7 linked regions of the Ovis aries genome follow. The protein of the gene in region 1 interacts with the protein of each later gene in a pairwise test. Links are inferred from orthologs where the notes say so. Each region holds a gene or a part of one and is shown on either strand. Other genes may lie near its edges.

Evidence for each region.
Region 2: the proteins of EMILIN1 (region 1) and PLAC9 interact in binary tests that used the Homo sapiens proteins (3 or more experiments, as listed by UniProt). The two-hybrid records come from large-scale screens. The link is inferred for Ovis aries from reciprocal best matches to the Homo sapiens genes EMILIN1 and PLAC9.
Region 3: the proteins of EMILIN1 (region 1) and ZC2HC1C interact in binary tests that used the Homo sapiens proteins (3 or more experiments, as listed by UniProt). The two-hybrid records come from large-scale screens. The link is inferred for Ovis aries from reciprocal best matches to the Homo sapiens genes EMILIN1 and ZC2HC1C.
Region 4: the proteins of EMILIN1 (region 1) and NMI interact in binary tests that used the Homo sapiens proteins (3 or more experiments, as listed by UniProt). The two-hybrid records come from large-scale screens. The link is inferred for Ovis aries from reciprocal best matches to the Homo sapiens genes EMILIN1 and NMI.
Region 5: the proteins of EMILIN1 (region 1) and BEX5 interact in binary tests that used the Homo sapiens proteins (3 or more experiments, as listed by UniProt). The two-hybrid records come from large-scale screens. The link is inferred for Ovis aries from reciprocal best matches to the Homo sapiens genes EMILIN1 and BEX5.
Region 6: the proteins of EMILIN1 (region 1) and IFT20 interact in binary tests that used the Homo sapiens proteins (3 or more experiments, as listed by UniProt). The two-hybrid records come from large-scale screens. The link is inferred for Ovis aries from reciprocal best matches to the Homo sapiens genes EMILIN1 and IFT20.
Region 7: the proteins of EMILIN1 (region 1) and BEX3 interact in binary tests that used the Homo sapiens proteins (3 or more experiments, as listed by UniProt). The two-hybrid records come from large-scale screens. The link is inferred for Ovis aries from reciprocal best matches to the Homo sapiens genes EMILIN1 and BEX3.

Annotation. Positions count from the first base shown.
Region 1 is NC_056056.1:34,159,976-34,164,337, forward strand, and holds the start of EMILIN1 (EMILIN-1), read left to right. Parts: upstream 1-1,390; 5' UTR 1,391-1,854; coding exon 1,855-2,024; intron 2,025-2,942; coding exon 2,943-3,092; intron 3,093-3,534; coding exon 3,535-3,761; intron 3,762-4,362. UniProt on the Homo sapiens protein: Involved in elastic and collagen fibers formation. It is required for EFEMP2 deposition into the extracellular matrix, and collagen network assembly and cross-linking via protein-lysine 6-oxidase/LOX activity.
Region 2 is NC_056078.1:34,359,894-34,364,304, reverse strand, and holds the start of PLAC9 (placenta-specific protein 9), read left to right. Parts: upstream 1-1,608; 5' UTR 1,609-1,640; coding exon 1,641-1,704; intron 1,705-4,411.
Region 3 is NC_056060.1:84,396,549-84,400,774, reverse strand, and holds the start of ZC2HC1C (zinc finger C2HC domain-containing protein 1C), read right to left. Parts: upstream 2,880-4,226; 5' UTR 2,232-2,879; intron 1,987-2,231; 5' UTR 1,968-1,986; coding exon 639-1,967; intron 1-638. Other genes in the region: ACYP1 (acylphosphatase-1), read left to right, coding at 3,147-3,312.
Region 4 is NC_056055.1:158,230,272-158,233,946, forward strand, and holds part of NMI (N-myc-interactor), read left to right. Parts: intron 1-2,358; coding exon 2,359-2,521; intron 2,522-3,675. UniProt on the Homo sapiens protein: Acts as a signaling pathway regulator involved in innate immune system response.
Region 5 is NC_056080.1:133,706,853-133,711,223, forward strand, and holds BEX5 (protein BEX5), read right to left. Parts: upstream 2,930-4,371; 5' UTR 2,665-2,929; coding exon 2,614-2,664; intron 2,350-2,613; exon of another isoform or gene 2,187-2,349; intron 1,668-2,186; coding exon 1,601-1,667; intron 1,056-1,600; coding exon 688-1,055; 3' UTR 456-687; downstream 1-455.
Region 6 is NC_056064.1:19,762,900-19,767,374, reverse strand, and holds the start of IFT20 (intraflagellar transport protein 20 homolog), read left to right. Parts: upstream 1-1,650; 5' UTR 1,651-1,736; intron 1,737-4,475. UniProt on the Homo sapiens protein: Part of intraflagellar transport (IFT) particles involved in ciliary process assembly. May play a role in the trafficking of ciliary membrane proteins from the Golgi complex to the cilium.
Region 7 is NC_056080.1:128,929,655-128,933,041, reverse strand, and holds BEX3 (protein BEX3), read left to right. Parts: upstream 1-1,326; 5' UTR 1,327-1,401; intron 1,402-1,784; 5' UTR 1,785-1,862; intron 1,863-2,217; 5' UTR 2,218-2,245; coding exon 2,246-2,584; 3' UTR 2,585-2,834; downstream 2,835-3,387. UniProt on the Homo sapiens protein: May be a signaling adapter molecule involved in NGFR/p75NTR-mediated apoptosis induced by NGF. Plays a role in zinc-triggered neuronal death.

The sequences.
Region 1 (4,362 bases):
GTTACAGATGAGGAAACTGAGACAGAGCGCTTTTGCCAACCTGAAGTCTCTCCCCTCCCCTTGTCTCTGGTTCACTTTTCCCTCCAACACGGATCAGGTTCTCTTTCTTCCAACAGCTCTTCTCTGACTCCCCGCAGCAGTCAGCTGTCTTTCTCCTCCTCTTAACCGGAGCACAGCATCCATCTGTCTGGCCCCCTGGCCTTCTGTCCGTCTGGCCTGTGTTCATTCTCTCTTGTGTCCTGTCCACCAACAGGACCAGCTGCTCCTTACTGAGTCCTTCGTGGGCCTTTGCTCCCTGGGCACCTCGTCAGCACCCACACCCCGCACTCTCGCCTGATTTCAGTTTAGTACTTCTGCCTCTGTCTCCCAAGTGGCCCACCACGCAGGGAGACCTGGACAGAACCCAATGCTGAGGGCCAGATGGTGAGGGGGGCCAGCTGACAGATTCGGACATCTCACGAGGAGCCTACCAGACAGGCTGGTGGTTGAGTCAACTTCCTTGCCTGCCTCAGAGGCTATCAGACTTGGCTCTGGAGTAGGGAGTGACTTCCTTTAGGCTAAACAGATAGGGCCCAACTCATCTCCCTGCCTCCCCTCCCCCACTCATGGCTTTCACCAAGACAAGCCTGACGCCCATGATCACTTGGCCTTTGGAGAATGAAGTCTTTCTCCTCCTGCCCATGTCCTCTCCATGCTTGACAGAAGTTGCTCTCCATTGCCGGACTCCTTTCTTCCTCTGGCTTCTCTGAATTTCCTGCCAGCCTCAGTGGAGTCCTCATTTTGCTCCCTGGTCCAGTAGCTTTTGCTCCTCTCCTCCTCTTTCCTCCCAAGCTACTGACCTGGGTACTATTTAGATTCTAATCTGAGCTATGCTCTTGATTTGCGGTGTTACCTTGGACAAGTTACTTTCCCACTCTGGGCCTCAGTTGTCACATCTATAAAAGGAGGCAGCTGGACTAGATGGTGAGTGGCAGTTCTGCTGAGCCCCTGCAAGTTCATTCTCCCTTTTACGGCTCTCCTCTCCACCTCTCCTAGGGCTCCTCTCCCGGGAGGGGGGAGGCGGGGGTCCTGCCCTGGCCCCAGGAGAGCTGTGGTTCCAGCTCCCGTTCCCTGTCTAAGTGACCAGCCCTGAGCCTCCTCCCCAGCTCTGGCCCCGGCTCCGCTCCATGTGGCCTGTCTGAGAGGCTGGCCCCAAGCCCGGCGGCAACTCCACATTTCTCTGTTTTTCCTTTTTTTTTCTCTCTCTCTTTCCCGGAGTTAACAAGAAGCAGATGTGGCGCACGATGGTTGGAGAGGTGGGGGGAGGAAGGGGGAGGCTGGACCGCCAGCCAGACAGGGGGGGAAGGGAGGGGAGTGAGGGAGAGAGAGGCGGGAGGCCAGGGCCCGCCCCACAGCCACTCTTGCGCCTCTGAGCAGCCACAGGGGCAAAGCCCTGTCACCCCCAGGATCTGGTCACTGGGGAAAACCGACAGCGGAGACCAGAGGAGGGCCAGATGGAGCGAGGGGGTGGAGGCCCAGGAGGCAGCATCTGAGAGGGCCAGGGACCAGGCGCAGGAGGCTGGGCTGTGTGTAGGGGGGGCACAGAGAACAAACTCCCCTCAGAAGTGGAGAAGAGGAGAGCGGAAGGAATCGAAGGAGGGACAGACAGGAGCCTGAGGAGGAAAGAGGAGGGGGAGAGGGGTCAGGCCAGGCAGCCAAGGAGGAGGTGTGTGGCTGGGGGCTGCCAGCAGGAAGCTGGGGACAGGACCTGCTGTCCCTCAGAGCAGCGGCATCCCCCCAACCCTCGCTCCAGGCAGAGGCGCCAGTGGTCAGGCCAGGATGTGCCTCTGAGGGCCGCCGCAGAGCGCCCCCACCATGGCCCCCGGAACCCTCTGGAGCTGCTACCTCTGCTGCCTGCTGACCACCGCCGTGGGGGCAGCCAGCTACCCGCCTCGCGGCTACAGCCTCTACACTGGGAGTGGCGGGGCCCTCAGCTCTGGGGGCACCCAGGCCCAGAGTGCCCCCCGACCTGCCAGCCGCCACAGGTAGGAGTCTGGGTCTTAGCCCAAGGCTGGAGGTAGGTGGGAGGGTGGGTGTCCTGGCCCCTGCCCCGGGTACGTTCTTCTGAGCTGTCCACTGGGGCAAAGGACGGGGTAAGAGGAAACCCAGCCACCAGGTGGCTCTTCACATGCCCGCCTTCCTTCAGGGCCCCCTGGAGTAGATAGGCACCCCCCTACCCCATCTAACCTCAGGAGTAATCACTTCCACGTTAGGTGCCCAGGGAAGCTATCCTGAGGGCCACGGGCCAGGCCTTCCTGTCACTGCCAGCCCACACCAGCCTGGGAGTCTCGGCAGACCTTTCATCCCATGCTAGGGCCCCCTCAGCCCCATGCAGAAACCCACGCTTCCCACATCACTTCTCTGCTCCTTTCCTTTCTCCAGCGGACACGGAGTGGAGGCCGGTCGGGGGTGGGGGAGTGGGGGGCCAAGAGTGTAGAACTGAAAGCCCCAGGGCGGGCAGGGCTCATCAATGGCTTATTCTCTCCTTAACCCTGAGCTGGACCCCTGCCTGCTCTGACCACTCCCCTGAAGGGTGAGGAGAAGCCAGGGGTTCACCAGGGAACCTGGCCAGCCAGCTCACACAGGCCACGCCAAGCTGGGGGTTGAGACAGAAAGGGACATGAATGAATGCGTGAATTCAGATGCTCCCCAGGCAGCCCAGCCATGAGGATCAACATCCCGTAGTTGTGGTTTTACTTTCTGGGCCTCCTGTTCCCATCTTGAAAAGTCTTTATTGCCTCCTACTACACGGGAAGGCGTGGGGGGTGGGGTGGGGTGAGGAGCTGTCCCTGCCAAAGCCCTAGCTCCCCCTGGTCCCCAGAGGCCCTTCATCTTGTGACCCTCCCTCAGCCCCTCTGGTAGCCCCTAGGCCTCCCCACGGAATGTGTGTCTCTGGCCCTCAGACCCAGGTGGGATTGTGCCTGCAGGAACTGGTGTGCCTATGTGGTGACCCGGACAGTCAGCTGTGTCCTTGAGGATGGAGTGGAGACTTTCGTCAAGCCCGACTACCAGCCCTGTGGCTGGGGCCAGCCCCAGTGTTCCCGCAGCATCATGTGAGGATGGGTACTTGGTGGGGGCGGGGCCAGGGCTGCCAACCTGGGGGATTTGTACAAAGCAGGTAGCCAGGGGCAGGACCAGGGGCTTCGCTGAGAGCCATTTGAGGAGATGCTGAGGCAACTCTTTGGCTGGTGTGATACTGAGGGCACACTCACTTGGACCACCCTGCCAGCCTTGGGAATGTGTCTTCTGGGCCTGGCCACATTCAAGGAGAGGAGTTCAAAGCTCCAGCACAGAACAAGGGGAGGAAGAACAGGGATTGGCCTTCGGCCAACTGGCTGACAACTGTCAACTGAGCAAGGCCACATGCTGGCCAGTAAGGGGGACCCAGCCTGAGGGACAGACCTAGCCCACGAACAGCGGCCCATCTCTGAGGACAGGGGCCAGCATCACTGATGGTGCAGGAGGAGTAAGGGGGCCTCCCTCTGCCTCTCCCAGGTACCGCAGCTTCCTCCGCCCTCGCTACCGCGTGGCCTACAAAACGGTGACAGATATGGAATGGAGGTGCTGCCAGGGGTACGGGGGCGATGACTGTGCAGAGGGCCCTGCCCCGGCGCTGGGCTCCGCACCCACCACCCCGCGGCCCCGGCCCCAGCCCCAGCCGGCCCGCCCCAACCTCTCCGGCTCCAGTGCGGGCAGCCATCTGAGTGGACTGGGAGGGGAAGGTGAGTATGGGAGTTGCTGGGGAGAGGAATGGGGACAATGCTGGGGAAAAGCATGGAGCCAGGCTGCTATGGGGAGACCCCTGCTCCAGGTCAGGGCTGGGGGCTGAGGAGTGGAGGAGTGCACAGAACAAAAGATAGTTAATGAGATCCCTGAGGTCCCTTTCCACACTTGAGAGCAAGAGACCGAGAGAATGTCTGTGTGGGGGTTGTGTGTATGTGTGTGTGAGTGTGTGAGAGAAGAGAGATTGAGTGAGACCCAGAGAAAAGGAAGGCAGAGAAAGAGAATGTGCTCGCACACGCCCACGTGTGGCCGAGATACTTCCTAGTTGGGAACAGCTGCGGGAGGAACGGGGAATTCCTTGGACAAGCTTGGTCCAAGGGGATAGACACTTGGGACTACAAGTCCTAGCATGCACTGCAGCTGACTACAGGTCCCAGGTGCCCCAGTGGCCTCTAGAGACTGCAGGTCCCAGAATGCAGCAGTCCCCGTTGCCCAGCACTGCAGATGTGTTGTGTTGCCTGCCAGGGAGATAGCCGTGCTGTAATTATGGAAACAGGAACTGCTGGCTGACTCTTCCAACACCCAGCCAGATCCCCTGCA
Region 2 (4,411 bases), on another chromosome or scaffold:
TGCCTTGGAGCCCTGCTCTCAGTGGCTGGCCCCTACTTTGGGCTTAGTAAGAATCATTGGCATATCCAGCAAGAGGCCAGCTTAGCTAGATTCCAGTCCAGTTCCCTCAGCTTGGTAAACTCTTCCAGTTCCTTGTCTATGCGGTTCCTAATATAAATTCAGACAAAATGTGTATACATGGAACTGCATGGAACTGAATAATATATGGAAAGTGAAAGTCACTCAGTCCTGTACAACTTTTTGCAATCCCGTGGACTGTATAGGCCAGAATACTGGAGTGGGTAGATGTTCCCTTCTCCAGGAGATCTTCCCACCCCAGGGATTGAATCCAGGTCTCCCACATTACACGCAAATTCTTTACCAGCTGAGCCATCAGCGAAGCCTATATTTGGGGATTTTTACTTTCATGCTTTTATTTTCATGCTCATCTCATCAAATTTTAGAGATCATTCTATGTTAGTACACCTCAACCTGAGACAGGCTGGGACTTGGGACCCTTTGCTGCAGTGCTTGCTCCTGGACAAACTGTTTTCTCCAGCAACGAAATACAAAGAAACTATAGGGGACTAAAAGTAGCTGCATGGTTGTACAAACTAGAAACAAGAAGATACAAAAAGACCAAAAACCCAACTGCCACTTCTGAGGGTTCAGAAACAAAAGCAAGGTACTATTCACCACACCAAGAGAGTGGGCAGACCTCCTAAACATACCCCTCCAGCCCAGGCACATCCACCCCAACCCTGGAGCCATTTAGGGACCAGCTCACCCCCTCCCCCAGGGAGCAAGCAAGGGCACCCATACCTATTATTTGGCGTGCTTAAGTAAGAGATCCAATAAGGCCCTGCCTGATGTGGCATTTTATCAATTTCTTTTTTTAAATTTATTTGGTTGCCGTCATGTGGGATCTTCCATTGGGGCAAAGGGACTCTCGACTTGTGGCGTTAGGGCTCAGCAGCTGTGGCATACAGACTTGGTTGCTCCTCAGCGTGTGGGATCTTAGTTCCCTGAACAGGGATCAAACTCAGGTTCCTTCATTGCAAGGTGGATTCTTAACCACCAGACCACCAGGGAAGTCCCCATCAATTTCTATTTAAGAACCCGGATCAATAACAAACCCACTATATTCCTTTGGAAAGTATCGTTTAACAATACTGTTACTCCTTTAGAAGGACAAAATTTCTGTGGAAGACAGACCCTCCGTTTCTGAGCCTCCCTCTCAGAGCGGCACTATCTGATGTCATCAGAGCTGATTACTCCGTGAAGTTAGGGATTCAGATCCTGTGCCACAGGCGTGGGTGGCCCTTCTGGAAACTGCAACTTGCTGGTCTGTGAAATGGGCTCATAACGGATCACTGGGCCCCCGGTTCCATCATCCTCTGTTCTGTGCTCGGGCCCAGGGGGAGGCGCGGGGGGCTCAGAGCGCGGCCCCTTCCTGGGGAGACGCCCAGCCTGGCACATCGCCCCTCCGCTCGCGGGGTCTCTGGAGGGGGCGGGCTCGCTGGAGCCAGAAAGCCCGGAGCCGCCCAGGAATCTTGGCTGAAACTGCGAGCATTTCCTCCCAGGCGGGCCGGCGCGATCCCGGGGAGGGCGGGGAGCGCGGCCGCAGGCAGAAGCGGCGCTGCGCTCCGCCGGCCGGCAGCATGCGGCCCCTGCTCTGCGCACTGGCCGGGCTCGCCCTGCTCCGCGCCCCGGGCGCCTTCGCCGGTGAGTGGGGCCCGGGAGCGGGGCGAGGGCTAGGGAGTCCGCGGACCGCGAGGAAGGAGCAGAAGAGAGGGAGGGAGATGGGGACGGAGCCAGACGGAGAGAGAGAGAGATGGAGAAAGAGGGAGATAAAGGGAGGGAGAGAGAGCGATGGGGAGAGAGAAAGGAAAGACGAAACAGAAAAAGGCAGAGAGAGAGAGGCAGAGGAACATGGAAAACGGAACGAATAAGAGGGAAAGGGAGGGGCTGGGACAGAAAGATTTCGGAGGTAAACAGATGGGTGTGAACTATGAATGAGGACAGCAAAAGGAGTTTAGTGGGAAAGAAACAGAGGAACTAAAATGGCAAGAGAGGGAGATCCGAAAGAAACAGAAAAAGGAGAGAGGGTGGAGAAACCCAGTGCCCCGGGTGGGGAGGAGAGGGAGGAGGGGGCCAGGGTCCGGAGGTGAACCGTGAGGTCTGCGGGGTGGGGCGGGCCTGCGAAGCACCCAGGCCTCCTTTCCTGGGGAATTCACTGGGATGCTGAGCTCCAACAGGCAGATGACCCCGGTCTGGTCCGGCCCAGCTGGTAGGGGCCAGGCAGGCGGCCCCTGGAGGTCTCGGCTTCACCTGCCTGGTAGTCTGAGGAGGTCCTGCAGTAGAGGAGAGGAGGCCAGTTGTCAGCCTTTCAGAGAGCTTTCCCAGAGGGCCTGAGCAGCCTTGGGTGGGTGGGGAGGAGGCCGCAGGAAAGAGAGGCCCTCTGGGTGCTCCCGGCTGGGTTCCTTGCCGTGCTTTATCCCCTCTAGCTCCCCTGACAGCAGCCTTAGAGCTGTCCCCTTGCAGGTGAGGCTCGGACAGGAAGGCTGCAGGACCAACTGTCCCATACGCATAGGTGTTCCTTCCACCACCCCAAGACTCTGCACTCTGTGTAGAACTTTACAGTTGACATTTACCCAAGCTCTCTTGCCAACCTCAACCAGAGACGGCTGATGCTCACAGCTGTACAGGTGAGGGGAAGGCCCAGTCTGCCCAGGCATGCAGCTCTCCCGCCCCCTCAGCCACACCCTTGCCCTGTGTCAGGCTGCTCCCCCATCCACCTGGAGCTGGTGGAAGTGCCCCGTGTTAGGGTGGAAGCTCCCCTGGCAGGGAACCGGGAGCACCAGGGAAAGGGCTGAGGCCAGTCCTGCTCCTGGCCAGCCCCCGGCTGAGTGGCCTTGGGTGAGTCATGTCACCTCTCTGAAGCTATTTCCTCTTCTGTAAGTTGGGGAGAATGGTAGCCACCCAGAGAACTGGAGCAAAGGGAAGTGCCCAGCGCAGAACACCTGTCGACACACACTGGCTCCTTCCCTCGCGCCCTCAGACAGCTCCGCTGACCTCCCTGAGCCAGCTTCTCCACTGAGGCTGGCAAAGGAGGGCCAACAACCCCTTCCTCACAGGCTGAGTGAGGAGTGGCTGAGACCACCCAGCATAGAGTCCGGCCCACAGTGCCATCCACCCACCCCCTACTTCCCTGGCCCACTGCCTGCCCCCTCTTTGCAGAGTCCCACCTCCAGGAGCTGAGGGGACAAAGCCAAGTCTGTGCTCCCCCAGAGGGAGGAGCTGGCCACTGCCCACAGTGGCTGACCTTCTGTGGCCCCTTAGCTATGAGTGGTACATACGTTTTGTCTTAAAGCCATTTTAAACATTATTTTCTTCCTGGTCATGCTCATTGCTTCAGATTAAGAAAAATAGAAAGAAGAAAGTATAAATGTATTTATGTAATTTCACATTGTGTTCAAACATTGTTTTACATAACCTTTCAGACTTCAGACAATTATACCATTTTTTTTTTAACTGTTGATTATCAAATCTTTTGGCTATACACACAGAATGGTGTAAGGAACCTCCATGGATTCCTGACATCTTAATTCGTCTAATCCACCTTCTCTCCCCTCCCTCAGATTACAGGAAACTCCAGGCACTAAATATTTTCATCTATAAGTACTACCTTATATATTATTAAAGCATCAATAATCTTTTAGTAACTAAAATACCACTGTCACCCCTAAAAATGAACAATAACTCCTTAATATCATCAAATGTCTAGTCAGTATTCATGTCCCTAATTGTGTCATGTTTTATATTTGGTCTGTTTGATTCAAATAAGGTGGATACATTTGGGTTTTGGTTGATATGTCCATTAAGTTTCTTGTAGTAAGTTTTAAGTTTCTTTAGAAGGTTCTTTTCTTTTTTCTTAAAATGTATTTGGTAAAGAAACTACGTTGCTGGCCCTATGGCTTTTCACATTTAAATTTTAGCTGAGTGCATCTTCTGTATGTCATTTAAATGTTCTTCTTTTCCCTGTATTGTCTATAAACTGGTAATTAGATCTAGAAGCATCGTATAATTCCAAGTAGACTTTTTTTGTGAGAATACTTTAAGATGATTTATTGCTTTAATTTTCACTTCTTTGATTACTGCCAAGGTTGGATATATATATATATTTTTAAAGAATATTGGTCATGTCTAATTCTTGTGAATTGTCTTGACCTTTTCAATTGTGGTATTAGGATTTTTCATATTGCTCTATAAAGTCTTTTATGTGTTGAGTGAAATAGACTGTTCTGTGTTATTTGTAGAGAATTTTTTTTTTTTTAAGTTAAGACTTCAGCTGAGGTCCTTTTCTGTTTTGCTATTTAGCCATTCTCATCCATGCCTCGGGGCCTACAGGAATCCACCGTCACTCCAGGTC
Region 3 (4,226 bases), on another chromosome or scaffold:
AACTATACTCCAATAAAAATTATTAAAAAAATAAAGTCCTCCACCTTTAAGTTGTTTACGCTCTAAATGGGGAGAAAAAGAATTCCAAACTTAATCGTGCGTTTCATCTATTTACTAAGAAGGTATATCAAAATTAGCCAAACTGGAAAAATTAGAGTTCCAGGAGTGGTAACAAGTCCTAATTTGGGGTGATGGTAGAATATATTATAAAGAATGAGGAATTTTGTCAGGGTAGTGAAATGCTTCATGATATATATATATTTCATTCTCTTAAATTTTCTACTGTAAGTGTTTATTACTTATACAATCAAAACAACATATTTTTAAAGTCTAGATTTTGGAGTCATTCTGACCCAGATTTATATGCTGCCATTTAAAACTGTTTGTGATCTTAAGCAGCTTAACCTGAGACTTGATTATTGAACTGATAAGATAATGAAATCTTCACAGGGCTGTAGTGAGGAACATATGAAAACCTCCCATCACTGTGACTGGCACACAGTAGTAATCAATAAATCAAATGTGAATTCGTTCTCCCTGTAAGACACATGAAATCTTTCTAAAGAAAACAGATGAGGACATAACAGGCTCTTAAAAGTGATCCCCACTCAATGGCAAATCCATAAGGCCCTTGTTACCTTGACTGAAGCTGGACCCTTCCAGTTCAAGTACTGCTCTAGTTCTGTGCCCTTGGCCCGGGCCCTAGAGGAGTCAAACACTTTCCTCTTGGAACCCTGCATCCTGCGGCAGATGCTGGAGTGTCTCTCCAGCCTGAGCAAGAGAAACTTTCGGCCGCAGTGGCTGCACTCGCCCAGTTCTGGCTCTTCAGTGGAACAGCTGGAGCCTGAGGAGTCTGGTGCCCTGGATGAGCTAGAATTGCGGGTGTATCTCTGCAAAGCGCTCAGCGGTGCTTCTGTAGCTTGAGAAAACTTCTGCTTCAATGGCCTTGAGACTCGGTCTCGGATTTTGTTATTGCTTGCCACCAGTCTTTCCCTTTTGAGCTTCTGAATTCTATAATTAGAGAACTGGAATGGACTAGAATTCTCTCGAGATTGTCCCCAAGTTTCATCTTCTCCTGTGTCTCTGTTGAAGACCTCCTCAGACCTGAGTGCTGGAGAGAAGATAGGTTTGTATGCGGTGATGCTATTATCTTTAACTCTCCTCTGGGAGAGCACCATTCTCTGAAGCTCTCTTTTTTCATTTTCCTCAGCCTGTTCTTTTCCCTTCTGGATCCTTCTGAGTTCCTCCTCCGTCTTCTTCAGCTTTTCCCTCAGAAGAGTCTCTTTTCTGCGGATTTCCTCCCCTAAGCTCTCCCCTGCAGCTTCTAGTCTTTGGATTTGCATCCACTCCGTCCTGTTGGCATTTGCCATGACCCTTTCCTCCTGAGTGGCAGCAACTGGACCAACCATCGATGAATTCACCCAGTTCCTCGAACCAAAGCTACTGTACGAATACTTTCTGGGCTCAGGGATTCTTGGAGAGGCGTTCCGGTCTCCATCAGTGCCAGCCTCACCTGTACTATGGGACTTCCGATGAAACACAGGTTTCAGAGGGTATGCTCGGTCAACCCCCACTCGCTTCTTTGTCAAGGGGATGAATTCTTGGTCATTTGTTTTGGGATACCGGGACTGAGGGTCTGATGTGTAAAACAAACCCTTGGCTTGGCCCTGGGGATTGTTCCTTGAATCCTGCTGGCTCATTCCAGCACAGTGAGGATACGAACAGCTCTGGGCTTTTGTGCAGGTGTTCCACTTGGGGTGAGTGTAGAGATTATCCAGCATCAGTTCTTGGTTACTCAAAAGCTTCTGCTGGAAATTGTTCCTCGGGTGCCCTGTAGAGGACTGCTGGGAAGAGTCACCTTTTCCATAGGGGTCTTGCTTAGCTGAATGGAGCTCTGGAGCATCCCTTTTATTATGTGGGAGCATAACGCCCATAGGCAGAGGCAACGCCAACTGGAGACCAGCCATTCAGAGCCTGGACTGAAGCCTAGGGGAGATTTAAACCAGACACATGTGAGGAGTTTGTCTGAGGTTTACCTCCACTGTTAAAGTATAACTGTTTCTACATCTGCCTACCCACAATTCCCCTTAGACTTTTTAGGGACGCTGGTGCTGGGTCCACCAGAGCTTTCATTCAATAAGCATTTGGTGAATGCTTACTGTGTTCTGTGGGTGCTTATTAGGTTCTGAGGATAGAAAAAGGAGTGTGATACAGGTGTTCCTGCCACCTACCTTTCCTTTGTATCACTACCAGCCTCTGCCATACACAGTGACGCTTCCTCATACACAATAATACACTCCACAGCAGATGGAAAGAGCTATTGGATTGAAAGTCAGTTTTTAGGCCTGTGACACAGGACAAGCAGCTTCCCCTCGCTGGGGATTCGCCCAGAGTTACAGGACTGGAATTGAGGGGCCGTTGGACTGTGAGTTCAGCCCCATCATTTTATAGGCGAGAAAACTGCAGCCCATTGGTAAGTGACCGGCACAAAAACTCTCGGGGCTTCCCTCCTGCTGGAACCGTGCTTGATCCTAAAGAGCACAGAGCCGGCTCAGGGCATACAGCAGGTGCCTGGCTGCCAAACCCTCACGCAAGGACCACTCGATCCGGCCACCGCGGGTTTAGATCGGAACGCGGAAGTTGCGTTCTGTCCTGGAGGGTCACCCGGGACGTCCCCGACTTGTGACTCCGCTTCGGAGACAAGGCCTCGGCTCTTCAGTCCGTCGGCCCTTGGGAGATCGATGCGCTGACCCCATGCCTTCCCGCCCTTCCGCGTACCTGAGGCTCTTTTGGAGGCGGCTCCCGCTTAGGGGAAGCCACAGGACTCAAGCTTCCTCACCACACGCCCTCCAGCAGCCGCCGGCCGCGCAGGCGCTCTCAGAGGGCAGCTGTTATTCCCGTTGCCTGGAGACGGGGGCACGTGCGCGCGCCCACCCCCGCCCCGCCGCGAATTCCGCGGGGCGTGCGCAAGCGCAGTCCGCTCACCCGGGGCCGCCGGGGCCGCGGGCGCGGTCCAGCAGGGTCACTAGACTCGGTGTCCCGCCAACTCTGCAGCTCAGTCCAGCCCTGCCCTTGGGGAACGTGGGTAGGGGGTGGGAGAGGCTCTTCTGGGGCTCCATCAAAGAGCTTGTACTTTTCTCAGAGCGATGCTCTCCGATCCTGGGGTGTGCCCTTCTCTGGCAAAAAAAGGAGCGCCTAGATGCGCCCTCAGGTCATTCTGCCGCAAGATTCCGGTGTCGGCCCTCCTCTTAGCGGGAGTGGGCCTGCTGATCGCCTTTCTCGGCACGCTCGGCTGCTTGGTACCGGCCCCAGGTACGGCTGTCGACTCTGTCCATGCTTTTCCTCGCACATAGTTTGGAGCTTGCGTCAGATTTTAGCAACTCCGCTAGCTTTTGCTAGGCAGTCTCTTCCTGGGGAGGTTTTTGTAGCCAATCTCATTATTTTGATATAATGTTTTCCTTTCATGTGGTAACTCTGGCCCTGTCTTCTTAGGGCCCAAGAATGACTCAGACAAGTGTAATGATAATGAAGTTAACCACCAGATCCAAAATACTCAGTATAACCTGATTTCAACCCTAAAGATATCCCATAACTTGTTAACATCAGAAGAGAGTTTATTTGTCTTCATACTTCAGTTCATTTGTGCAAGCTGTTTGAAACAGGCAGCTTACTCTTTTTCCCTTGTAACTACTTACTTAAAAAGATTCATGCCCATGGAAAATAATATAGACAGCAGTGGTCGGTGTTACTACTTCAACATGTCATATTGCAGCTTTTACGTGTTATAAAGAAATTCCTTGGCGGTGCTCCAAAGCAGTCTTTTGATGCCTTGTTTTCCCTTCTACTTGTCTCTCAAGTGCCCTCTCTGTGTATGCATTTCCAGAGGTTTGTCACTCTTTTCAAGGTCCCAATTATCTCAGCATGGGGCTTGCCTGTCATCAACTCCCAAAGCTCCCCTCTAGCCTAGCAGAATTTCCCAGGGTGCCTCCTTCCATCTTGACTCCTTTCCATCTTGTTTCTGAGGAAAAAAAATCTTTGTCTTTCCTTGAGTTCTCTTGACTTAGTCCCTTTCAGTACCTTCCAGGAATTGACTCACCATACCCATCCATCTTGCTAACTTCAAGTTGTATCCATCCACACACTCTGGTTTTAAAATATGCTTAGCTTTGCCTTACAAAAAAAAACAAACAAACAAACTTCCTTTCCCTTGACCTCACCTCTCACCT
Region 4 (3,675 bases), on another chromosome or scaffold:
CTGAAAACAATCAACTCTCCCTCCATAGTAGAATGAATTTATAAATTGGGGTGTATTCACATAATGGAATACTGCACAGCAATGAAAATGAACAGGCAGTAACTATATACAATAATATGGATGAATTTCATAGACACAATGTTGAGCCAAAAGAGGAAAAAGAGGGCGTACCATATACTTTGACTTAAGTAGAGCACAAAAGCACAGTGTTAGAAGTTAGTATGGTGCTTACTGTTAGAGGCAGGTAGAAACTGGAAGGGAACCCCAGAGGGCTTCTGAGTCGTTGGTCTTGTTCTGATGATTGATCTGGGTGCTGGTCACAGGTGCATGATCCCTCCATAACATTTCATCTTGCTATAAATTATTGTGGGATGCCCTGGTGGCTCAGATGGTAAAGAGTCTGTCCGCAGTGCGGGAGACCTGAGTTCAGTCCCTGGGTCTGCAAGATCCTCTGGAGAAGGAAATGGCAACCTATTCCAGTATTCTTGCCTGGAGAATCCCACGGACGGAGGAGTCTGGTGGGCTACAGCCCATAGGGTCGCGAAGAGTCAGACATGACTGAGCGACTTTATATATTCACTCACTCACTCACACATTTATGCTAATGCATGTTTTAATATTCATTATACATTAATACAACACACACAGCCTCCCAGTGATGGTCATTATCAATCACTTTTGGATCAAAGTCTTGGTCTTCTCGCTAAATTTTTTCATTGCTCTCCTCATCCAAGTAATAATTTAAGTGTGTGTCACAGTTTAAAAAAAAAATTGGAAGAGTATCTTCACCATTTAAATTCTTTCTTAATTTTTCCTTTGTTTGAATTAGACAGCTCTCACTCCTTTTTTCTTCATCAAAATCCAGATTGTTAAAACACTTACTTTAAAGCATTATCACTTTTTATTTCTGAAGTTGGGGGTAGAGTGTTAAATATCAAAAGTGAGGTTTTTTTGTGTTTGTGAGCTTTAGAGAAGTCTCTGTTAAGATCCTGCATAATTTTTAGACCGGAGCTAGAATCACTTAATTCTACAACCCAAATGGGCCTTGGGAATCCAGCCAGCTCAATTGATCCACTTCACAGAGGACTGAAAACTGGGCTCTAGGGACCATGAGTGCATTGCTCCCTGCCATGGTGTACTCAGGACTAGAAGCAGGCATTCCCACTCTCACTGGGGAAAGCTCTTGACCCTTCTGTGTATACTGGATGTTTCTCTGTTATTGGGAAACACTGTCTTTTCACACTGCAGATTGTTTTGAAATCAGACTTATGGTAATCAGAAATTCTACCAAAGTGACATGTCAAATTGTAGAATAAATGTCAGATTAGACCAAATGACTCATTGGCTGTTTCTAATCTCTTCATGATAACACTTTTTCTTGCAACATGTAAAATAACCGTGAGAAATAGAGATGAAAACACCTGACTCATTTGTGCATTTCTGTGTGACTGTACTGTCTGTTCGGGGCTTCCCTGGCAGCTCAGTAGTAAAGAATCTGCCTACCAGTACAGGAGACATGGATTTGGTCCCTGGCTCGGGAAGATCCCCTGGAGAAGGAAATGCAACCTTCTCCAGTATTCTTGCTTGGGAAATCCCATGGGCAGAGGAGTCTGACAGGCTATAGTCCAAGGGGTTACAGAAAGAGTCAGACATCACTTAGAGGCTAAACAACAGAGACCTGTTCATCCTAGTGATTTTCAGCACCAAAGTATAACCACTTAACTTTATCGTCCAGATTTTTTTTTTTTTTAACAAATCTTGCTATTGGTGTCCCTTTACATTTTTATAAACCTAAGTTGTGGGAATGGTTAAAAGTTGATGGACAGGTGTTGAGGAAGGGGGAATTTAAATTTGATAAATTTTAAGGCACTGAACTGAATTTAGGAGTTTCTCTTTGGATGACATTACCTGAGTTTGCTGTCAAAATAGCTGCAGTATGCACCCACGTCTATTTCATACCTCTTTGCAATGAGACCAAAGATACTGTGCAGTGATTCCTTTGTGAAACAGCCTATTATTGGCATAGTTGTTTAGAAGATACTTTTCTGTAGGAATGATGTAGGCTTAAGAACCAAACAACACACAGTATTGACCAGTTTAAACACTGATTGATTAGAAAAAGTTAGAGACTATATACTTACAATTTCATCTGTGAAATAATATTAAAGGATCAGCATTTGACTAGATTACTGAGTATTTTTCTGGGAAGAAGCAATTACTAGTGATATTAAATCAGCGTTCTGTGGGGTTCTGAAGTCAGTGGAGAATGAATTATTGGATGATGAGATCACATTATCATTGGAAGGACTTAAGTTACTTCTTGTGTTGATTTTAATCAAACCTTTCTGTTTGAATTAGATTAATGAGGATATTCCTGAAACAAAGATAAAGTTCACATCTGTGGAGAATCCTGAGAGTGACAGTGAGTTTTCAGATATCTCCTATTCATGTCAAGTGAGCTCAAAAGTCCCTTATGAGCTGCAAAAAGGACAAGCACTTATTACCTTTGAAAAAGAAGAAGGTATGATTAATATTCAAAAACTTGACCATGTTACCTTTAGAAACACGGGGACTTCCAAAGAGTTTTTGTAGATATTTGGCCATTGCTTTAGAATTTTTATAGCATTTCGTCTTATCCTCATAGGGGTGCCCTGAAGTAGATAGGATTATTCCTGTTTTACAGACCAGAAAACAAGACTCTGAGATGTTGAGTGATTTGAACATGATCACTAGCACAGAATGTGAGTGCTCTAGAAATCAAACCCGTGTTGTGATGCCCAATACCAGCATTTTCACACTACTCCCGCTACCTGCCAATGATAATCCTAGTCATAATGTTTCAAAGTAGCAAAGCAGAGAGTTCTGACAGACATGAGCTCATTTTATACTCACGTGACTCTGTAAAAGTAATAAGATAGAGACACTGTTTACATCATTAAGAAACCAGATTCTCAGATGTTTCAGTGATTTACCTAAGTGCACAAGGCATGAGAATGAAAAGAGCTCTGGAGTCAAAGATTTGGCATGGGACCTGATGTTTGCCATGGTGTGGAACCCTCTTGAGAACTGGGGACACCTTAATGAGAATCTGGCTTTGAATGCCAGCTCTGCCTCTTCTTTTTTTAAACAAACCAAAACAGCACTTTCTTTATTTATTGACTGCGTCGGGTCTTGGTTGCATCACTTGGGATCTTTGTTGCGGTGCGTAGGCTTAGTTGCCCCGCGGCATGTGGGATCTTAGTTCCCCAGCAGGGCGTCCAACCCGTGTCCCCTGCAGTTGGAAGGCAGATTCTTAACCACTGGACCACCAGAGAAGTCCCAGTATTTTTATGTATTTGTTTGACTGCACCAGGTCTTGGTTGTGGCATATGGGATCTAGTTTCCTGACCGGAACCGACCCTGGGCTCCCTGCATTGGGAACAAAGAGCTGTAGCCACTGGACCACCAGGAAAGTCCCCAGCTTTGCCTCTTTACAGAAGTGTAGTTTGGGTTGGGTTCTTTATAAATCTCAAGTTTTTATGGCAGGCCTTGTAACAATGCCTACCTCATGGGGTTGCTTTGAATACTAAATGAGAAGCGTTGAAAAAATACTTAGCACAGTATCTGATACATAATAAACACTTAATAAATGTTAGTTGTCATTATTGCTCCATGCTAGAAATTTTTTAACTAAGG
Region 5 (4,371 bases), on another chromosome or scaffold:
ATCAGAGGATGAGATGGCTGGATGGCATCATCCGATGCAATGGACATGAACTTAGGCAAACTTCGGGAGATGGTGAAGGACAGGGAGGCTTGGTGTGCTGCAGTCCATGGGGTTGCAAAGAGTCAGACATGACTGGGCAACTGAACAAGGCTGATATTAAAGAAACATATCTGTAATGATTATAATAGGTTTGTGCTTCTAAATAAGAGATCCAGAGATAATATAAGATTTATGTCTTTAAATTGTACCTCAAATATTTATTGTTTCCATTCCCTTTATAATCTGATTGGTAAGTTCTTTGATTCTTTTCTTTTCTTTTTTTTTGACACATGTATAATTATTTTGGGAAAATAAAAAAACAGCTAATCAAGAAAATAAAAAGACACATTCAGATCTATCTATATATATATGTATATAAAATGCATGCTTTAAAATGAGATAGTATATCTACTAACTGCTTTTTGAAGTGCTTTATTAGCTTTACAATATGTAATAGACATCTTTTCATGCAAGTTCATTAAATCTCCCCTGCTATTCTGCAAGTTGACAGAAATTCTTTTAAAGTCAAAAGTGAAAATGAAATCACTAATCTGAAAAATGACAGAACACAAAAGGTTCACAGTAAAGGGTACATCAAGAAAATGCAAGTTTGTGAAGCAGGGGGTTTATGATTATTAACCTCAGCATTCAAGGCATAAGGCAAAATTCATCATGATGGTCATGGTGAGGAGGATCTCCAATAAGAATGCGCAGACTGTACCTCAGCTGAAGCTCTCTAATTTTCCTCCTTAGCTCTCTCATCTCCTCCATGAACCTCTCCATATCATCAGCATCCCCATCTATAATGTCAATGTTATTGACAAGCCCATTAGGCATATCCTCTCTAAAATCCTGGGCAGGTGGGTCCCAATCCCCTCTAACATTTTCTCTAGGCTTGGCGCCTTCACCACCTCCCATAGGACAAGCTTCTTCATTCTGCACCAGAGCCTGCTCCTCTTCTCTCCTTTCCTTGGGGTCCTTTTCCATCTTGAGATATTTTTCCCCGCTTCTTCTTCCTAGGAGATGAAATGAATGCTTTGTAATAACAAGATTCAGAGCTCTGTGCGCAAATGTTTCACCACCTGAGAGACTTCAGTGTGCCCTCTAAGGGGGCGCCCCAGATCCAAAGAAAAGAAAGTGAAGTCGCTCAGTCGTGTCAGACTCTTTGATACCCCACGGATTGTAGCCTACCAGGCTCCTCCATCCATGGTATTTTCCAGGCAAGAGTACTGGAGTGGGCTGCCATTTCATTCTCCAGCCCCAGATCCAGCCCTGCCCCAAAGCCCATCATTTTCCCTGAAAATCTTTCCCCCCTCCACTCCTGGCTCCCAGTGGCTGGTGGGAAGGACCATGGTGGAAAGACCAGGCCTTAGCCTCCAGAGCTCCTTACAAGTTGTCCAGGGGGCACCCAGAGCTTGCCCTTCTACTCCCTTCTTCCGTCACCAGCCACAGACCCAGTCTCGGCCAGGTTTCTCCTGCACTTAGTCCGGCAAGGAGGGCTGGAATTCCCCCCATTCTGCCCTGTGCACCCCTACAATAGAGTCCCGGGCACCTCCCATACCTGCAGGGATCAGAAGCAGTCTTCCTCTCTCAGCCTTGAAATCTGCTGCACCAACGGACCTAAAGACCTATAGAGAGAAATGCGACAACAGCCAGCACTGATCACTCTGATTAAAGGACCAGCGTCGGGGGTGGGGCGCCAGCTGTCTAGTGGGTTTAGGACTCCGCTAGAAATGTGTTGTTGCCTTCCCTTTCTCCTCTATCCCTTCTCACGGCTTTTATTCACTCCCTGTGACCCTGTCTTCCAGAAACAGACATTCTAATCAAAGCTGATTATTTCCAAACCTCTTCTTTAGGCCCCTCATCTCCACTGTCTGGTCCTTCCCCGCCATCTAATTACCATTTCTTGAAAGCAAAGGGACAACTTGTGAGGCGGGGGTAGTCCTAAGAGCTTGCTGGGTGGCTACATGGTTCATTTATAAATAATTTCAATGTAGCTATCTGCCAGGACCTTTCGGGGACTTTCTGGAGCTCCCCCTTCTTCCACTGCCCACCATTTTATGCATCAAGATGGACGAAGGGCAAAGAGGGAACGTGGGCATAGCAAACCTGTCCCCGCTGCGGCGTCAGCGCTTTGTCAGGCTTACCCTAGCGTCCGCAGGCAGTGCCCACACTCACACCGACCTGAAGCGACCAGAAGCGGTTTCCTGCTCCCGGCCTATGTTCAGAAGTCCGTAGCACACGCAGTCGATTGCCTCTTCCATAGAAGGGACGTGCTTCCCACACCTAACCCCTGTCTCTATCCTCTGCAGCAGCCGCCCAGTCCCCTCCCCTACTCCTTCGAGTTCCCACAGCCACCATTTCCGGCTCCAAAATGGAAGGAAGGTGAAGAAATACCGGGAACGGAGGCTTAGACCCGCTGCAGAGTCTGCCACCCCCAACCCAGGGTCGCCGGTTGCGCACCCCTCCCGGCGCGCTGCAGCAATCAGGTCGTTTCCTCGCAGTCTCCTTTCCCGGTCCTTCTCTTCCAGACATTGCCCAATCGCCCAGCTCTTAGGAGATACTATCTCGTACCCATTCTTCAACCCTTGGCGCCTCTTGAATTCCTCCCACCAAGTCCTCCATTTCTTGCACCAAACAAACGTGAGGTCATCGGAGAAGCAGTAGAGAGAATCCAGTCCTGGCCTCGCTCTGGTCTTTACCCTCAGGCCCCCGCTCCCCTCCCCAGTCAGCGCCCTCCAACCTGCCGAGGATCGCGGTCAGCTTCCACGGCTTCCTCCTTTCTGGGTACAGTTCGCCCACCTTAAGGCAACAGCGAGCCGGCGCACAGCCGCAAAGGGCTACGGACTGCAACGGGAGAGACCAGTTCAAGCGCGGGCTCTAGGTCTGCGTCACTGTGAGCTCACATCCCCATTTAAGGTTCCTACCTGCGGAGCTAGAGCGAGCTGGGGGCGGGAGCGGGGGCGTGGCCACCTTTCGCCTCAGTCCTACTTTCTCCCCAACTATACCGCTGGGCACTGCACATCCACTATTTATTGTTTGTTTATCTATCTATTCATTTTCCTATTTATCATCTTTGACACCAAACCGGTCATAATATTTGGTCGTTTGTATTTGCGTTTTTCCTGATTTCTGCTGGAGCTTTTAAAGAATTGCTTCTTCCTCTGTACTATGAAATGTTCACTTCTCTCCCTTCCACTCTGAAGCAAGTAAAGCCTAGAATTTCCCCCATCAGTCTTGTTGGTTTTGTCCCAGGCTGGAACCGGACAGGGTGTGTTGGGGGAGTGGGGTGCGAGTCTAGAAAGTCTGGAAAATAGGTAGGAGGTAACATTAAAAAAAAAAAACAACAACAAAATGATTTCACCCTAATTATTTTCCTTTCTGTTTATTTTTTGAAGGGGTGGGTGATTGTTTTTGTTCTATTTCCCATCAGCATACATTCATGTTTTGGTTGTTGTAATTAGACAATAGTTATTTTTATTTGAAAACTAAGATTAAAGTTGTAAAACCTTGCCATTCTGTTTCTGCTGTTGAATCATCCTACAAATATAGTCTCTCTAGATAGCACCCTCAGTTCAGTTCAGTCACTCAGTCGTGTCCGACTCCTTGCGACCCATTGAATCGCAGCACGCCAGGCCTCCCTGTCTATCACCAACTCCCGGAGTTCACTCAAACTCATTTATTAAATGTTGCAATCATATAAAACTAAATTAAAAGAATATAGCATATATCCATGCTTTATAATATATATAGCTTGAAAATATATATAATAAATACATTTATATATATAAACACATACATAGTTATTTTATGTACTTTAAATGTGAGTATATATACATACGTATTTACGTATAGATATGTTTACATACACAAACAGCCTACTTTTCTTACACACCTACTTTTCCTAGAAATCAGTTTTTTCAGATTCAATTATGTTGATATATATAGATGTAGGTCCTTTATTTCTACAGCAGTATAGTATTCCATTGTATAATTGTATTGTAATTCATTTTTTGTTTTCCTATTGATGCTTATTTAGATTTCTAATATAGGTACATTTTAAGTGAACATCTTTGTGTGTGGCTACACTGTACTTAATTCATTTGAACAGCAAAAATTTTTTTTTGTTGTATTTATTTATCTTAGTTTTTAGGGTTGTTGTTATTTAGCCTGATCTGCCAGGATTTTCCAAATCTGCCCCATTTTGGATGACATCCTAGATATGAAAATAACACCCAGATACACAGGTTAATCCTCTTGAAGTTGTAATTTAGTAGGTCTGGGTTGGGATATGAGTATGTATTTTAAGAAGTATCCCAGATAATTTATAAA
Region 6 (4,475 bases), on another chromosome or scaffold:
CTTTGTGACCCCAGGTTGTAGCCTGCACCAACCTCCTCTGTCCATGGGATTTTCAAGGCAAGAGTACTGGAGTGGGTTGCCATTTCCTTCTGCAAACACAGGAAATGCAGGTTCGATCCCTGGATCAGGATCATCCCCTGGAGAAGGAAATGGCAACCTGCTCCAGTGTTCTTGCCCCGGGAAATCCCATGGACAGAGGAGTCTGGGGGGCTACAGCCCCTGCGGTTGCAAAGTTGGACATGACTGAGTGACTGACCGTTCATCCTGGGAAGAATGTCCAAGGAAAGGCCAGGACAGGTGCTGTATGAAGTACTGAACTCCTTTGGTGGTTTGTCCAGTATGGATGAGATGAGCGCCCCGCCCCAGCAGACTGCCCAATCAGTAAGTTAAGCTTGAATGGTATGAGATAACTTTACCAAACTGCCCACCCGGAAGGAATAAATCCACCCCTTAACAGGTTTTAACAAGTTCTCTATGCATTTTGTGTCTAGCCCCAATTTCCCCACGATCAAAGAAAAGGAGCTCACCAAAGGTTAGGCGGCTGCCAACAAAGGAAGACAAATCCAAACTAATCTATTCTTTTCCAACAAAGCAATTGCTTTGAGCCCCTGGATGACGTCAGCTGAGATTCCAGTTGCTCAGATTCCGCCCAGGCCAATAGGTTCCAGGAATCCTGTGGCAGGTGACGCCCCAGAAGGTAATTCCAGTGAAAATGAAGTTTCCACTGAAAGCCTCAGAGCTCTTCCTTCCGGACTTTGTGTGTGGGTATTTGGGGATGCTAGGGGCCTATCTGTGTCACACTAGGCAAAGCGAATGGGAACCTAAGCGGAATAAAGGGCAAACAATCACGGCGGTGTTAGACGGTGGGGTCCTAAGGAAAGAAGGTCCCAGAAATTCGTCACACCAGGGATGGCGAGGGGAGGAGCCGATCTTGGTCAGAGAGGGCGGATCTAGCAGAAAATCCAAAGTGTAATTCTATTGCTACATCCAAAAGGTGTGGGCAAATTTATCCAGACCCAACCTCTCCATGCCAGTGTAGAGTCTTTCCCAATTCATACCCCTCCTCACTATTGAGAAACAGAGACCGGTTCTGACACCCATCCCCAGGGGAGGATTTGAGCTCTCCACCCCCACCCCTCTTTCGCCGTCCCACGCCTTTTCCCCAAGACCGCGTGGGGCTCTCTTTGCTCAGCCCAGGACCCAACCATCCCTTCCCCTAGGACATGGGCCGGCTAGGCTCTCACCCTCCCCGGTGGCGCCTCTCCTCTCAGCTGGATTGCAAGTCGACACCGTGCCGCCCCCGAACTGTGGCCGCTCGAGCTCCAGCAATCCCGGGCCGAAACTCGCATCCTCCACCCAAGGACTCCGCCCCAAGCCGGCGGGAGCCTGAGACGAGAAGGCAGGGCAGGCCCAGCATCCAATCAGGGCGGAGGGAGGGGCCCCTGAGAGTATTTTGCGCTGAGAGCATAGCTACTTCCGGCAGCCTTTCCGGCGCAAAGGCTCTGGGTCTCGTAGGCAGTTATCCTTCCTCTCAGGCCTCTGTTTCCCAGCAGGCCCTGCGGGCTTGATGGGTCTAAGTGCTTCGGGGTCGGGAAGTGACGTTGACGTAAACAGGTTCTGTCGCCGTGGCAGCAGCTGAGGCTGCTGGGCAGGGTGTCGGCGGCAGCCGACTGGAGAGAGGCGCTGACTTCCGACGTTAGCCTGGGTCGCCAGCGCTGTCGCTGCTGGGTGAACAGGTAGGCCGTGACCCCGGGTTGGCGGGCTTGGGGCAAGCCCGGGGTGAGATTAGCCTAACAGGCCCGTGCCCCGAGGAAAAGCAATCGCGGGGCGAAAGAAACGTGGTAATTCCGCCAGGCTCTGGGAGCGGTTTTACCCCCGGCTAGGGCCTGGAGCTTTACGCGCTGCTGCTCCCAACTATCTTAGGAGGAAACCGCGGCTCAGATTAAGTTCAAGGAGTTTACGTAGTGAAGACGCGAGCTCCACACCCAGGTCTTCCTAATTTTCCCCACACCCCACGGGTGGAGCCTGTTCGGAGCGCCCAGCGTGGTTCCGGGGAGACCCCCGGGGTGGGTTTGGAGGAGAACGCGTCACCCTCTCTTACTGGAGCTCAGTCCGGCTCTTGTGTCCGGTGTTCCTCAGATGCGCGTGTGGTGGGAGTTGGGAGAGAATCCGGTAGTCGGCTTTGAACCCTCTCCGCTTCTTCTCCGGTCTGACCCTTCTCATTCAACTATCCCTTCCAGCCGTGCAGCTGGCTCAGGCCAGGTACGCGGGAATCTTGCCTGACTCTTTTTCACTCCTCCCCAAACCCCTGCCTCAGTCATCCTTTGCTAAGTCCTATCAACTGGACTTACAAAACATCTCAAATCGGAACACTTCTTCAGCTCCAAGCCTTGGTTACTGAAATAGCCTGCTCTGTTTTCACAGTCATTCATACCACATACATTTGCTGAGTGCCAGTTTCTGTGTAGGTATCATGTTAGATGCTAGGGTAACAGCAATGAGCAAGATAGTTGTAGCTCCCTCCTCTTTCTTCCTCCAACCCATTCTCTATCCTGGGTCTTGGTGATCTCTCTAAAGGGCAGGTAGTCAGATAGACTATGCCACTCTGCTGAGAATCCACAGGCTGTCCGTTAAACGCTTATGAGAAAATCCAGGCTCGTTACTGCAGCTTTCAGAGCCCTCCGCCATCCAGCACTACCTAGCCTTCCCATCTCACCTCATCCCGTTTCTCTTTATCCCTTGCTCAGCCTTTCAGCCACACTAGCCTCTTGGCTCTTGTTACAGGTTCCATTTCTCATAGCCTCAGCATCTTCACAGGTGCTTTTCCTTCTGCCTAGAAATACCTCCTCCTCCCTTCACTTGACAAACTTCTGGACAGCCTTTAGTTCTCAGCATGTCACTTTTTCAGAAGACTTTTGTTTGCAGTTTTGGGGGGTAATTTTGTGTCCACATGAATTTTATCCTTCTGCTACAGCTTCATGTAGCACCGTGTGCTTTTCCTCATACTTTTATCATAATTTGTGATTATTTGTTTACTTCCTGCCCAGAGGTCGGGAACTGAAAGCACTGAAGCATTTTCTTCACTACTCTATCCTCGGGACAGTAGATGTTTGTGAATAAATGCAAGCTCTCTGGGAAGGGAGTGCGAATTGAAGCAGCTCTTTGTGCCCTCTGGTTATTTGAAGCAGTTTGTCTGGTTAGTTACTTGTGTGTGTGCTCAATTGTGTCTGACTCTTTTGCGGCCCCTGGACTGTAGCCCGTCAGGCTACTCTGTCCATGGAATTTTCTAGGCAAGAATACTGGAGTGGGTTGCCATTTCCTCCTCGAGGGGATCTTCCCAACCCAGGGATTGAACCTGTGTCTCCTGCATTGGCAGGTGGATTCTTTACCACTCACCTGGTAGGTGCTAAATGCTTAGACAAGCGGTCTTCAACCTTTTAGGCACCAGGGACCAGATTCATGGAAGACAGTTTTCCCATGGTCAGGGGGCAGAGGCAGGGCGGGGGTGATGATTTGGGGATGATTCAAGTGCATTACATTCATTGTGCACTTTATTTCTATTATTATTATATCAGCTCCACCTCAGATCATCAGGCATTAGATCCCGGAGGTTGGGGGCCCCTGACTTAGACTATATGTGTAAATAGGACAAATAGGAAGACAGATCTTTTTAAAAAGCCCAATTACAAGGGAACTCTGGATGATTAAAGTGTTTCAAAAGGAAGATGCTAGTTGACTTACTTGAATGGACTGCAGTGAGACCGAAGGCCCTGGGCCATACACAGCTAGACATGTGTTAGTTGGCCCACACAATGTTGGATGTGGGTTTTGGGTGTGTTTTTTTTTTAACTTAAAATTTTTGAATTAAAGGAGATACTGTTCTTTAAAAGTCAGATTGCATACATAAATCTGGATTTTTGGTCCTCTTGAAAGTCAGTTCTGGCAATAGTGGAACTTGATTCTTTTTAACCCTTGCTCTTTCTGTGGTATACCTACCCTGGCAAGTTGCTTCCAGAGTCACCCCATTCAGAACAGAACTGCTCTAACGTATCGGGAAGGGAAACAGGGGAGGCTGGGGAAGATGAGAGAGAAGGACTGGTGCAGGGCCAGGCTGTGGTAGCCTTTGGAACACTGGGGGTTTCCAAGTTGGTTTAGCAGCCAAGAGCTAGACCTCAGTAGCATTGCCTCCCTTTTTAGACAGGGCATGTGCCCTCTTATTTTTATTTTGTGTGTGTGTTTAAGCCAAAATGAGGGTGAGTTTTCAGTGTTTCCTTCCCAGAATTGAGGCATCCTTTGGACCAGGAATGCGAGGTGGCCTGGGAAGGGAGACGATAACTCTGCTGGTTCTCATCTACAGAAAAAAAAGACAAACATTAGCTTGGCCCACAGGGTATCTCTGCTCTGGCTCCACCCGGCTTTCCCTCTCCATCCTCTGTCCTTTCGACTTCTAGTCAGGAATAGGCCCTTCCAGTGGC
Region 7 (3,387 bases), on another chromosome or scaffold:
TCGAAGAGTCAGACACAACTGAAGCCCCTGAGCACCTGAGCAAAACTAGAGGCAGTTAGCATTTGCCTGGCCCATCTGGCCTCAGTACATATAGCTCTTTTGGTTCCTTGAACACAACCAACACTTACTATTTTTTAAATAATAATGCCATTTTCCTAAAGGCATCTCTATTTTGTAACCATGACTTTTAAAAATAGTTTTCAATTATTTCAAGTTGAAAAAATGAACGGTTACACTCAAGATAAGTTTCAAGTTTAATTGCTTCACATATCCCATGCCTATTTCTAATATTTTTTGGAAAAATTCACATTACAAAAAACATGTCTTTGGAACTAACTTTTACCAGTACTTAATTTCTGAGATCACTCTAAGGAAGTATGTGTAGGAGTGCTTTGCCAAGTTTGGAAAGGAAAGCAGAAAATAAATAGGCTCCCTTTTTTTTTTTTTAAAAAAAAAGAGCTCCTTTCCTCCAAAGACTGTGGTATCAAAAACATCACATAAATTTACATAAAATGGTCAAGGTCTGACAACTGGACTTCTACCTCAAGATTTACTTTACAGATCATTTTGAAAACAACAACTGTATTTAGGAAGATACTTGTATTTTTTCAAAAAAAGACTTCAAAATAAAATGTTTCCAAAATGTTGTGTGGTGGAGTCCAAAGAAAATATTTTCTGGGTAGTACAGGTGAACAAACAAATCAACAGGCTTTTTCTTCCTGCAGGATGAAGCATTTCTTTCAAAAATGAAACCTTGTAATTTTTAATTTTTTGATGGCATGCTGACTTTAAAAAAAAAGAAATAAAGAGAAATTACTAGGAAGGATATATACAACCCATTCTACCTTCTCGCCTGTCTGACAAGTTTCTTGCTCCCTCCCCACCCTAACCTTCAACCTAAATGTCCTAGAAGATGAATTCAGGGCACTTGGTGGGCAATGGTGGGGCGGGGTCGGGGTGGGGAAAGACTGGTCTGTGAGAAGAGGAAAGAGAGCAGAAAAAGGCAAGGCCAAGGCCTTAGGGGCGGAGATGGGGTAGAGGGTGTTGTAGACCTTCCCTTATAACCAGAGAATGGCAAACTCTAACCGCAGCGAGGTGATGCCACTCGTGGGCAGTCAGATTGGAGAAGAGCGAGATGATTGATGGACGGGGAGGTGCGCGCTGTGGCCCAGCGCACAAACAGGCGGTTGTCCGCGCCTGTGCACGAGGCGGAAGTGGGGCGCTCCTGCTGCACTGGCCGCCGGAGTTGGGGGCGAGCTCGGCGGTGACGTGAGATGCTCACGTGATCGCGAGCTGCAGAGCGACGCAGCCTTCGGTGCAGTCGTCACTCCTGTCTGGGTACCAGCTCCCCGCTCCCCTGCGCACGGCGGCTTGGCATCGGGCCCGCGGCAAGCGGAGCAGGTAAGAGCCCCGGGGCCGCGCGCTGACGCCAGGGAGGCAGCTGCCAGCCAACCCCAGAGGCCGGCACAGGGGTTCAGCGCGACGAGCCCCGGCAAGCCCTCTGCACACCCTGGCTTTCCTGGGAACAGAAATAGTGGCCCCCTGGGGTGGGGGTGCAGGGGGGCAGGGTTCCAGGGAAGGCAGGAAAGCAACTCAGAGCGATGGGAGATCATCCCTGAATCACCTGGAGCGGGGCGGGGATGGGGGCCCCTGAGGGTGGGGGCGGGGGGCTCGGGGCGGCTAGGCGCGGAAAGGGGGGCTGGTGGGAGTCGGGGACGCGGGGTCGGGAAGGCGCCGAGCGCCCGGCTGCAGCAGCCTCCTGCCCCCACCCTGGCCCGTTGCAGGTCTGCCGAACTAAGTGTGGCGGCGGCGCACTCGTGGCGAGGATCGGAAGGAGCAAGAGACAGCGAGGATAGGCCCAGGTCAGTGCCGGGAATAGTGCAGGGGAGAAAGGGGACTGGTGCACAGCCCAGCCTGAGATCCCTTGCTAACTTCCCCAGACCCCATGCCCCGTCCTCCATTTTAGGGCCTGCTGCGCTCTGGGAAAGAATCCTGGGAAAAGAAAAATGGTGGGCTTTGGGTTTGAGGGAGGGAGGGAAAAGGAGAGCGCAGGGAAAGAGGTCAAATTGAAGGCTCCCCAGAAAGCGCACGAAGCACCTGAGGTGGGGGAAAAATTTTTTTTCTTTGAATCTTTACTATCAGGACTCTGAATCCTGCTGGTCAGTGCACCAAGCATTCAGTGTCTCTCCTTGCCTTTGTCTTACTTGTTGTTCAAAGAAAAATAACCGGGGGAAAAAATCTCATCATGGCTAATATCCACCAGGAAAACGAAGAAATGGAGCAACCCGTGCAGAACGGAGAGGAAGACCGCCCTTTGGGAGGGGGCGAAGGCCACCAGCCAGAAAGAAATCATAGACGGGGACAGGCTCGCCGACTTGCCCCTAATTTCCGATGGGTTATACCCAATAGACAGGTCAATGATGGGATGGGTGGAGAGGGAGACGATATGGAAGTATTCATGGAGGAGATGAGAGAAATCAGGAGAAAACTTAGGGAGCTGCAGTTGAGGAATTGTCTGCGTATCCTTATGGGGGAGCTCTCTAATCACCATGACCATCATGACGAATTTTGCCTTATGCCTTGATTCCTGCCATTTCCATGAGATTAATACTGTGATTTCCACTGTTGTTCTGTTTTTCCTTGCATTTTCCTGATATTGCCTTTACTGATCCGTTTGCTGTGAACCTTATGTAATTTCAGTGTGTCAGGTGGGTTCTGTGTTACCAGCTTCTAATTGCAGATTGCCTTGGCATCCAATCTAAGTTTCTGTCAACTGTAAAGTTTCACCCATTTGCATGGAAAAATGTAAAGTTAATAAAGTAATTAAAAAGCAATCTATACATTTATTATTGTCTGATTAAAGAAAAAATACATGAACCCTTCAAAAATCTGAAATCATATATCCCAGGATGGCAATTGGAGCACATTTCTCTGTGGTTGGATACTACATGACTTTTTTTCATTTATTATCTGGGATTTTAGAAGCAACAGTTTTTCAATGAGTCTGTGAATGAACATAATTACTGGTTCAGCAAACTTAAAGAAAAGTGAACTTTAAGTATCTTCCAGCCTTAACTGGAAGTAAACCCTCCCTTTATTACAGATACATTCCTGTAAAGAGTCAGTCTTCTCTTCTGTGAAATGGGATAAATAATGTCTGCCTTAGAGGGCTGCCAAATGGAACACATGAGGTGTGAAACTGTTGGCCTGCCTCCTATGCAACTCCCCAGCATTTAACAGGACCCTGGCTCTCATCAGATCCTTGGGCAGTGCTAAGGGGAGTTTTCACCCAGGCTCACAAGAGGAAGAATAGGTGGGTTCCACTCTGTCAATCCAGTCATATTTGCAGTACCCCTACCTCCCTGATTACTGCCATGTCAGTTGGTC